Linked DNA regions of Bombyx mori. The protein of the gene in region 2 interacts with the protein of the main gene of each other region in a pairwise test. Links are inferred from orthologs where the notes say so. Each region holds a gene or a part of one and is shown on either strand. Other genes may lie near its edges. The genes, in order: ubiquitin-conjugating enzyme E2-17 kDa and E3 ubiquitin-protein ligase RNF25.

Region 1 (4,389 bases), on a different chromosome or scaffold from region 2:
ATTATTTATTCACTTTTCTTTAATCGCTTTTAGTGCTAAATGAATAAATAATCACAAAATATTTGTGAGACTCATACCACTCTTATTCTAATTTCTTGATAAATATTAAGCACTTTATTGGAGATTTTAAATTTTAATTTATTCTAAAAAAATACATCATTCCCTACTCACAATCCTTTCACAACTGAATCACAGATTAATAAATTAGTAACTGCGTACAAATAGCATAGATAATATACTATAACTGAATTTTATGTGTTTGACAGTGATGCCAACTGTTCAAAAATTTACTCTACACCAATTTATTTACAGCCCGATTATATCCTTTTTTTTTCAGTGTGGCAATCGACTTCTTAGGACGCTTAATTGCCAGCGTCAAGCTTATAAAATCTTGAACTATTATTTTTTTATTCTTTCTCTAGACGGACAAGCTTACGATCCATCTATTCCTAATGGTAATCGACATAGATTCGCCCGATAAGCTCCAATAACTATTTGATCGGTTGATTTTGCTCTTAAGTTGGTTACGACCAGTTCAGAGTATAATCGCGAGATAGATCAATTCCTTTAAGTTTTTTTACTTGTATTTTAGCAAATCACCAAAGTGTCTATTTATCAGTGATGGAAAACTATCAATCTACCATTTTTCAGTGACCTCTCTTACGTCTGTGTAGTGTTATACTCTATGTGGTAAACTTTCGAACTTACAGCTTATTAATAATGTATTACGTCTTTGTTTTTTCGTGTACTAGAATGATTAGTGTAATCGTGATTGATTTATGTCTATAGGGGTAGTTCAGAGTATAGAGCTCATAAATTGAATCCTGGGTGTTAGGAAGGTGTTCCGAAGCTAGGTAATAGACAAAGAACTTATATTTTTAAATATGTACTATCCAACTCTGGAATGAACCGAAATAATAGCAGAAAATAAAAAAGTGCCATAAAAATAAAAATATTTTTCTTTTAGTAATGCTCAAATTCTTATCAACGAAGCTGATACGTACATATTATGTCTAACTGATGTAGGAGTTCCACTAGTACTCAACCCTCTCAAAAGAGCATGAAAAGCTGGTGGAGGGATATTCACTTATTAGAATTATTAGTACCTATGTAATACTTAAACTTTAAATATAAAATCAATGCTGTTTTATCAATGCTGTTTTATGTTATTCAACATTTTTGGACCACGGGAACGGTTTCATTTTCTTTTCCTGTGACATTAAATCCATGTATTTATTTCACGAAAGTGTGTCCCTTGAATCCTTATTTATTCGTATTTATTCGTAGCTACATTTTGTTTAGAGCTTAAAAAAACGTCACATGGCTTACTACAGAATAGCACCTGACTTAAAACACAACTATTGTATTCATGTATTTTAATATCCTTACGCTTTCAGTTAAAAAACATTAGCCAATTCTGTAGAAAACCTTCACACGCAAGCTTAGTTCATCGTTACTCAGAATTTTTACGTCCGACGGCCATAAATCGACAGCTTTTTGTGCAGTTCAAGAATGTGCCCTACTCACTACTACTCAATCTATGATTTTACAATCATTATGTGTCTTTTAATTAATGTTTGTAAAGCTAAACACAATAATTTTCAAATAAAGAAGGAAAATACTTTTGTTTTGAAGACTGGTTTCAAGTTCTCACATTTATTACTACTGATTAGTTATAGGCAGCATCAACAAACAATAAGTACATGCTACTGTGAACATAAATTAATGAAATTCTAAGTAATTTCCAATATTTTTGATAAAATTTCTTTTGCGTTTATAAAATATTTAGGAATCTCGGATCAACCTAAACGAATAACTTTGCTTCGATAGTGTTGAGCTGCAAAAAGTGATTTAAATATCGAGGTGACGTGCCAGTAATGAATATCTTCAGTATATAATCCAAAAATAGCGCTCTACGCATTCTTAGAGACTAAAGAGTTGGTGACATCATATCCTTTTGATGTTGCCGTCAGTAAAGCTTACGTTTATAGTAGAAAAATAAAAATTTAAATAGTTTCTTACAAGAACTAACGTTCTTCAAAATTAATTGAATATTAAATAACTTTTATCGTAATACAATAAGTCTTAATTTTATTTTGTTGACGAAATAAAAATAGCTAGAGTGATTTTTAAACGTAAGCCGTTCAATTTGGGAGTTTTAAAACTTTGAGTGTTTCCGAACGAATCCTGTGCATGGTCGATTTTCCTGTTTGCTGTTCTCCATTTGCTGAGAAGTGTTTAATTTCGATCAATTCGTGCTTTGTTCCAATTATTATCTCTTTTGTATTATAAGTTAATATTATTAGTTAATTAACAATTTAACGTTTGAATATAATTGTTGTGATTTTACAATTACCACATAAAACGACTTTGGTGGTACTTTTGCGTTTAGACAGGGAGCCATCTTGCAATCTCTAATCAAAGGTCCTTGGCTCACAGTTTCGTTGTCTAGTTGAAAGTCAGTATAACTCAACATAAAATAGTCAAATGGCGTTAAAAAGAATTAATAGGGTACGTTATTAAAGTTTATGTTACTATTATAACAATTGAACAAAAAGTGCGCTTTAAAATTGGCCGAAACGTATTGAACGTTTCGTCATTGTGAATTCATATTATCGAATTTTTCTGGATAATTCCGTCTTCGTAGTGATTTTACACGGACATAAAATGTGAACCTTTAAAATGTTCTTGTCTGTAAATATACGTAACGGTGTTTTGCTGGTTCATGTATATACGACAATTTTGTGCACACGGCGTACATAAAATGTCGGAATTATGTGCCAATTTTGAGGTTTTCTTGTCAATGAAGCCACCTGTGATGTGAAAATACTACAAATGTGGAATTACAATGAAGAAATCAAATTTACTGCGTTTGTGAAACGGTCAGGTTAACTAATGGGATGTCAGTCGATGCACAGTCTTTATTTTCAGAGTGATGATGTGACATGTCTCGAGGTGGTGTTGTCTCGTTGATTTACGCATGGGCTCAAATGGCTTTGTTTCTGTTTAGGAATTACAAGATCTGGGCAGGGATCCACCAGCACAATGTTCGGCAGGCCCACACGGTGAAGATCGTGAGTACAGAACCTACTATCTACCTTTTATGACTCATTCTATTGTATAATAAAAATAAAAAAAGTGAAATACTGCAACAGGAGAGGTTGGTTTCTGAGATTAATAAAGTTTTCTAACATTCGTTTTATATGTAGAAATAAAACACATTTCATGATACTTAAATATTCTTACTTTGTTAATGTGACAAGCAGATTGCTTATTCATAATACACTTGGTACCTACATCAGAATGAATCATAAGATATTTATATGAGAAGGTAAAATAAATATTTTCTAGCATCAATTACCGTAAATATAATTATTGACAAGCCAGCATGCCCTAATTAAGAGTACAAAATGTGTTAGTATGACTTAAAGAACCACAAAGGTTCTGTACTGTGAATGACACCATAGATGTCAATGACCTTTTGTAGATAGAAACAGCTGGAGTTGTTGTGAATTCTACTGAATATAAAATAATTTAAAATATGATTGATTATCTTTCCACTTAATTTTGGTGATATATGATACAGGTGTGGAAAGGGAAATTATTATCAAATTACTCTTTAAATAGTAAAGATCTTTATGTATTAATTTTCAGTGATCTCCATAAAGCGAAGATAAAATTGCATAAATATCAAAATAACATAACTTACATTCATTAATAACTTTTAAATATATTTTCAGTGTTCCATTGGCAAGCCACAATTATGGGCCCAGTAAGTATTGTTGTGTTATTCATGACAAAACTACTTGATTTTCACCAGTCTAATGAGTAATTATTTTCTTAAATTTTCAGGTTGACAGTCCTTATCAAGGAGGAGTTTTCTTCCTTACCATACATTTCCCTACAGACTACCCTTTCAAACCACCAAAAGTTGCATTCACAACACGTATTTATCATCCTAACATAAACAGTAATGGTTCCATCTGTCTTGACATTCTGCGTGCACAGTGGTCACCAGCGCTCACCATATCCAAAGGTAAATCAATAAATTTATTCTTAAGTTGTGTATTTTGTGAATTACTTACTGTATAATAATTTTTATTTATTTAATTTCCAGTGTTGCTCTCAATCTGCTCACTTCTATGCGATCCCAACCCAGACGACCCTTTGGTGCCAGAAATTGCTAGGATCTATAAAACAGACAGAGAAAAGTACAATGAATTAGCCCGTGAGTGGACGAGGAAGTATGCCATGTGATGAGTCAATTGTGACATCAACAAAACATACACACACACATCGCCACAGCCCGGGCTCTATCCTCCTACCCTTGTTCCCATTCCCTATTAGTCCTTAATCCATTTAAATCCCAATCCTTCATTTTTTGGACAT
Region 2 (4,302 bases):
AATACTTGCTCGCAGGCAAATCGCACTAAGATCTGACGTATATTGGAGAAAGTGTATCAATACTTGATAACAGCACCTAGCCTATTCCTGCCATGAGGCAGTGATAGTAATTACAGTATACCTCGTATGTTACATAGCGGCACTCACGTAGTGATTGATATCCCACAGATCCTTGATATCAAGATATCGGGCAGACTGAAATTGTCCACAGGTTCACACAATAAAAAATCTGGGGTTTCAAGATACCCTAACAACCGGCAATTGTTAATAGTACATATAGCACATAATGTTCAGAATAAATAATCGAAAAGAGCAGCTACCAATACTTATAAATGTAACTTAACAAAACAAAGCAGTGACTAAACAAAATCCTGAATTGGTAGAGAACATTAAGAGCATTATGTTATTGTTAGCAATAGAATAACATAAACCCCATGAAAACTCTTCTTATAATACAATAATCACTAATTTGGGATTGTAGTTGAGGAGAGAATCTTCAATATGAAAAATAGAGATTTGTTCCAGGGAGAACTAGTGACTGTGATGAAGAAATCTCATCAAAAGATTCTTTTTGCAAATGTTTGTGTTATATAATCCCTCTATGTATAATAAAAAGGACCCTCATCAAGACAATAAAACTGAACTACCTGGAACATTAATGGTTATATAAACCAGAATACCTAGTAAACATGAACAAACAAAACTAATAGTTACATGGAAATTGCTTTGACATTAAAAATGCCAATTTTTTTTAGATCCAGAGTGCTTTCAAATTATCACAAATACCCAACTTTTGTTTAGTAAATTTGAATATATAACACAAATTGTGTTTACTTTATAATAATCAACAAAAATATACATATAACTTAAATAGTCGACTTACTTATTATAAAAATTGTATAGGATAATTTAAATTAATTTAAAATTTTAAATATCAAATCAAATCAATATCAAATTAATTGGCTGGGTCTATGTTATGCATTTCTTGTCAGTAATTAGTGTAAGGGCATACACGTCTGTTAAAATTTGATAATTTTGATATTTTTATTGAAGTTAGTCAGCAAACGTAGAAAGGTGGCACGGCATGACACACCCTCTTATCGTAGTCACCATTAACCATATCACAGCCCAGATGGAGCGAGAGCTAACTACCACCTTCGATTTATGTGATGCAAGAGCAAACAACCCATATATGTCCTTTCGGATCTCAATCCACTCGTGTGTTTTTCAGCTTTGCCTGTGCTCTCGGTATTCTAAGCACTGGTTACCAATCTCCTTGAATTAGCCTAATTTAATGTAAGATTTTGATGAACGAAAAATATTTTCTCAATTGGTCACATTTCCGGTCCTACAGTAGTCCAATATATCACCACTGCTCTTGCTGGGGCAAATATTAGCAAATTCATTCAGGCTGAGCCCTGAGAGCTTTTTCACTAATTGTGGTGAAGCCAGTACAACCCTTTGAGACTACTAGCAGTAGAATATATGAAAACCTAAATAATTAAACATTTTGTAATTTGGTGTCCCAAACAAGTAGGTAGTAGTACTTCATAAATTAATTTTGCATTTATATTTTAGGAGCACTACTGAGTTGTGAAAATAAAGAGGACTGGACTCAGGCTTTTACCTCATTAGACATGTATATATATTAATGGAGATACCAAGGCCAAATTATTTGTCTGCTGTCTATTTAAGTCCAATCCAAAAAGAAGTCCTAGACATAGCTTCACTAATGTTCTAGCACAGATTTTTTTAACAAAAACATCATAGTATATGAATAAAAAAAGAATAATAATACTTGGCAAGCAAAAAACCAAATATATGTAATATGATGAATAAAAATTTAAATACACCACTGACCTGAGCTGACCACACAAAAGCTAAGAAAAAAGAAGTAAGCTTACTAGGTAAAAAGAAATCTCTCAATAACAATTTTGTTATCTATATCAATTCTCTGTGTACAAAGCTGTTTATAAAAATTAAAATAATTGTTAATCTTCATTCTCATTCAAATGTCTTCTCAAATTTTTATCAGTTTTATTTATAACATATTATGTTTAAAGCCAGTCAAGAAATAGAACAAAGCAAGTCAACTACCTACACTAATGCATGTTACTTCCATGTCTATAGTCAGTCTAACGAGTAATTGTGGCAACAATCTATCTATTTTCAGTACAAGAAATAAATATTGTAATTTTCCTTAGCTCAACAGTTTAAAATTCTAACATTTATTAAGGCCACTCGATTGTATAGTTATTTTTTATAATTATTCATTGACTTACTCCAATAAGTTCAAACACTATTGGTTGTCCCAAATTATTTTTCAATTTGTCTTGAATATGTGTGTTGATAGTGTCTAAAATCATATCATCTAGACCTCTAGGGTTTTTGAGCGCTACTTCTGGGCTGGTGTCTGGATAGCCAGAAGACAACCCCACCTCCAGAGTCACACATACATATTGCTGATCGATATTATCCCCCGTCAACGGATGGATGATCGTTTCAATTATGTATTTTGGGACATCTCCAACGCGTTTTACTACCACATCTTTCAGTAGAATTGCTTCTAATGCTTGCACCTCGTCCGTGATTCTGTTAAAAACAATAAAATGTTATACGAAATACAAATTTCATACAAATTTATTCCGAACAAGATATAACACACCTTTCATCGCCGGAGGACGACATTTTAGTGATTTAAAACTGTTCTACAAATTATTATTGATGCATTCAGCTCAGACTTCAGGCAAGCGCAATGCAGCTGACGCAGCTTAACATATGGTATAATATGTACTTTTATTTATGTTTCCAGCTTCATGCAAAGCTCAGGCTGCTCGCATTGATTTCAGCGAGGGGACTGAGGGGTGGGGAAGGCAACGACACTTCCATCCATAGACTTATACTGACCATAGACAATTACTGTGATTTTTTTAAAGCTTTTATAGTCTGGTAATAAGACGTTTACGCCAAGTCATATTTCTTTTATTATTCTGTTCTCTCAAAAATTATCTGAAGCGCAATTAAATGAAACTGATTAATTGAAGACTTTTAAGCAATTGGCATAAAGTTAAATGGAACGAGGTGAGATGGGATGAAATAAAAACTCGGTAAAATGTTGGTTTTTTATTGAGAGTGGACTTTTTCTAAGAACCCGAGAAGTCACGTGCAGCGGATTGTTTCATATTCACACTAGCTTTTGTCCGCGACTTCGTCCACGTGGAATAGTTACTTTGGCGTAACGCAAAATTTTACCCGCCTCTTCATTTACGTAGAAATTTAAAATATTTTTAAAGATGAAAATTGAAAATATTTTTACAAGATGGGTGGCGCATTTACGCTGTAGATGTCTATGGGCTCCAGTAACCACCTAACACCAGGTTGGCTGTGAGCTCGTTCACCCATCTAAGCAATAAAAAAAAAGAATAATAGAATGGGAGCTATTTAAGGTACCTACCACAATCACGCTTTATAACCGACTTCAAAAGAGGAAGTTAAAGCGGAAGCTCTCAAAAGGGAAAAAAACACGATATTGAAACATTATTTTTCTCCTACCTACGCCGAAAGTTCGGTTTTCTTCCCGCTGTACAGGGAAGAAAGTATAACTTTTCCTCCCGCTATACAGGGAAGAAAGTGTAATTTTTTCTCCCTGGGTACAAGTGCGCATGCGCGTTAGTGTCTACATCTGCTTTCACGCAGCTAAAATTCTCCGCCATTGTTGTGCTCGGGTAATTTGCAATATTGTGTTTAGTGTAAAAGTGAAATAAACAAAAGGCAATAAAATTTAATAGTGAAGTATTAAACAAAGATGAGTTTATCAGACAGTTCTTATTCAATTAATAGTAGTTTATATAAAAATTAAAAAACAGTTTAATTATTTTTTATGAGTATTGGGGCTGCGCCCCCCCCTACCGCCTGCTATGGCTTCGCCCCTGGACCCTAGCTCCGTACTCCACGAACTTTCGGCCTGGTAGGAGAAAAAATAGTATGTGCACCGCGGGAGAAAAGTTGGACATTTCCTCCCGTGTGTAAAATTGCTACCCGAGCCGAAGTACCGAGCCGGGGTCCAGGGCCGAAGCCCCGGTGGGATCCAGGGGTGAAGCCCTGGTCGGGATAGGGAAGGCGCAGCCCCCCCATACTCATAAAAAAAACAAACACGCTGGGTGGGGGACATGAGTCACTCTCCATACATTGCACGGCCTACTAAACGAAGTTCAAGGACAGTAATTAAATTAAGTTTAAATAACAGACTATATATCCCTTTTATTATAAACAAATTAAAATCAATATTGTTCATGGGGTTAC

The links.
Region 1: the proteins of E3 ubiquitin-protein ligase RNF25 (region 2) and ubiquitin-conjugating enzyme E2-17 kDa interact in a two-hybrid assay, tested with the Drosophila melanogaster proteins (2 studies listed by BioGRID). The link is inferred for Bombyx mori from reciprocal best matches to the Drosophila melanogaster genes CG13344 and eff.

What each region holds. Positions count from the first base shown.
Region 1 is NC_085118.1:4,996,902-5,001,290, forward strand, and holds the start of ubiquitin-conjugating enzyme E2-17 kDa, read left to right. Parts: upstream 1-1,445; 5' UTR 1,446-2,487; coding exon 2,488-2,511; intron 2,512-3,010; coding exon 3,011-3,074; intron 3,075-3,740; coding exon 3,741-3,772; intron 3,773-3,852; coding exon 3,853-4,036; intron 4,037-4,117; coding exon 4,118-4,257; 3' UTR 4,258-4,389. Other genes in the region: progestin and adipoQ receptor family member 3, read right to left, coding at 1-2. UniProt on the Drosophila melanogaster protein: Catalyzes the covalent attachment of ubiquitin to other proteins. Mediates the selective degradation of short-lived and abnormal proteins.
Region 2 is NC_085114.1:12,702,840-12,707,141, forward strand, and holds the start of E3 ubiquitin-protein ligase RNF25, read right to left. Parts: upstream 2,876-4,302; 5' UTR 2,689-2,875; coding exon 2,666-2,688; intron 2,593-2,665; coding exon 2,283-2,592; intron 1-2,282.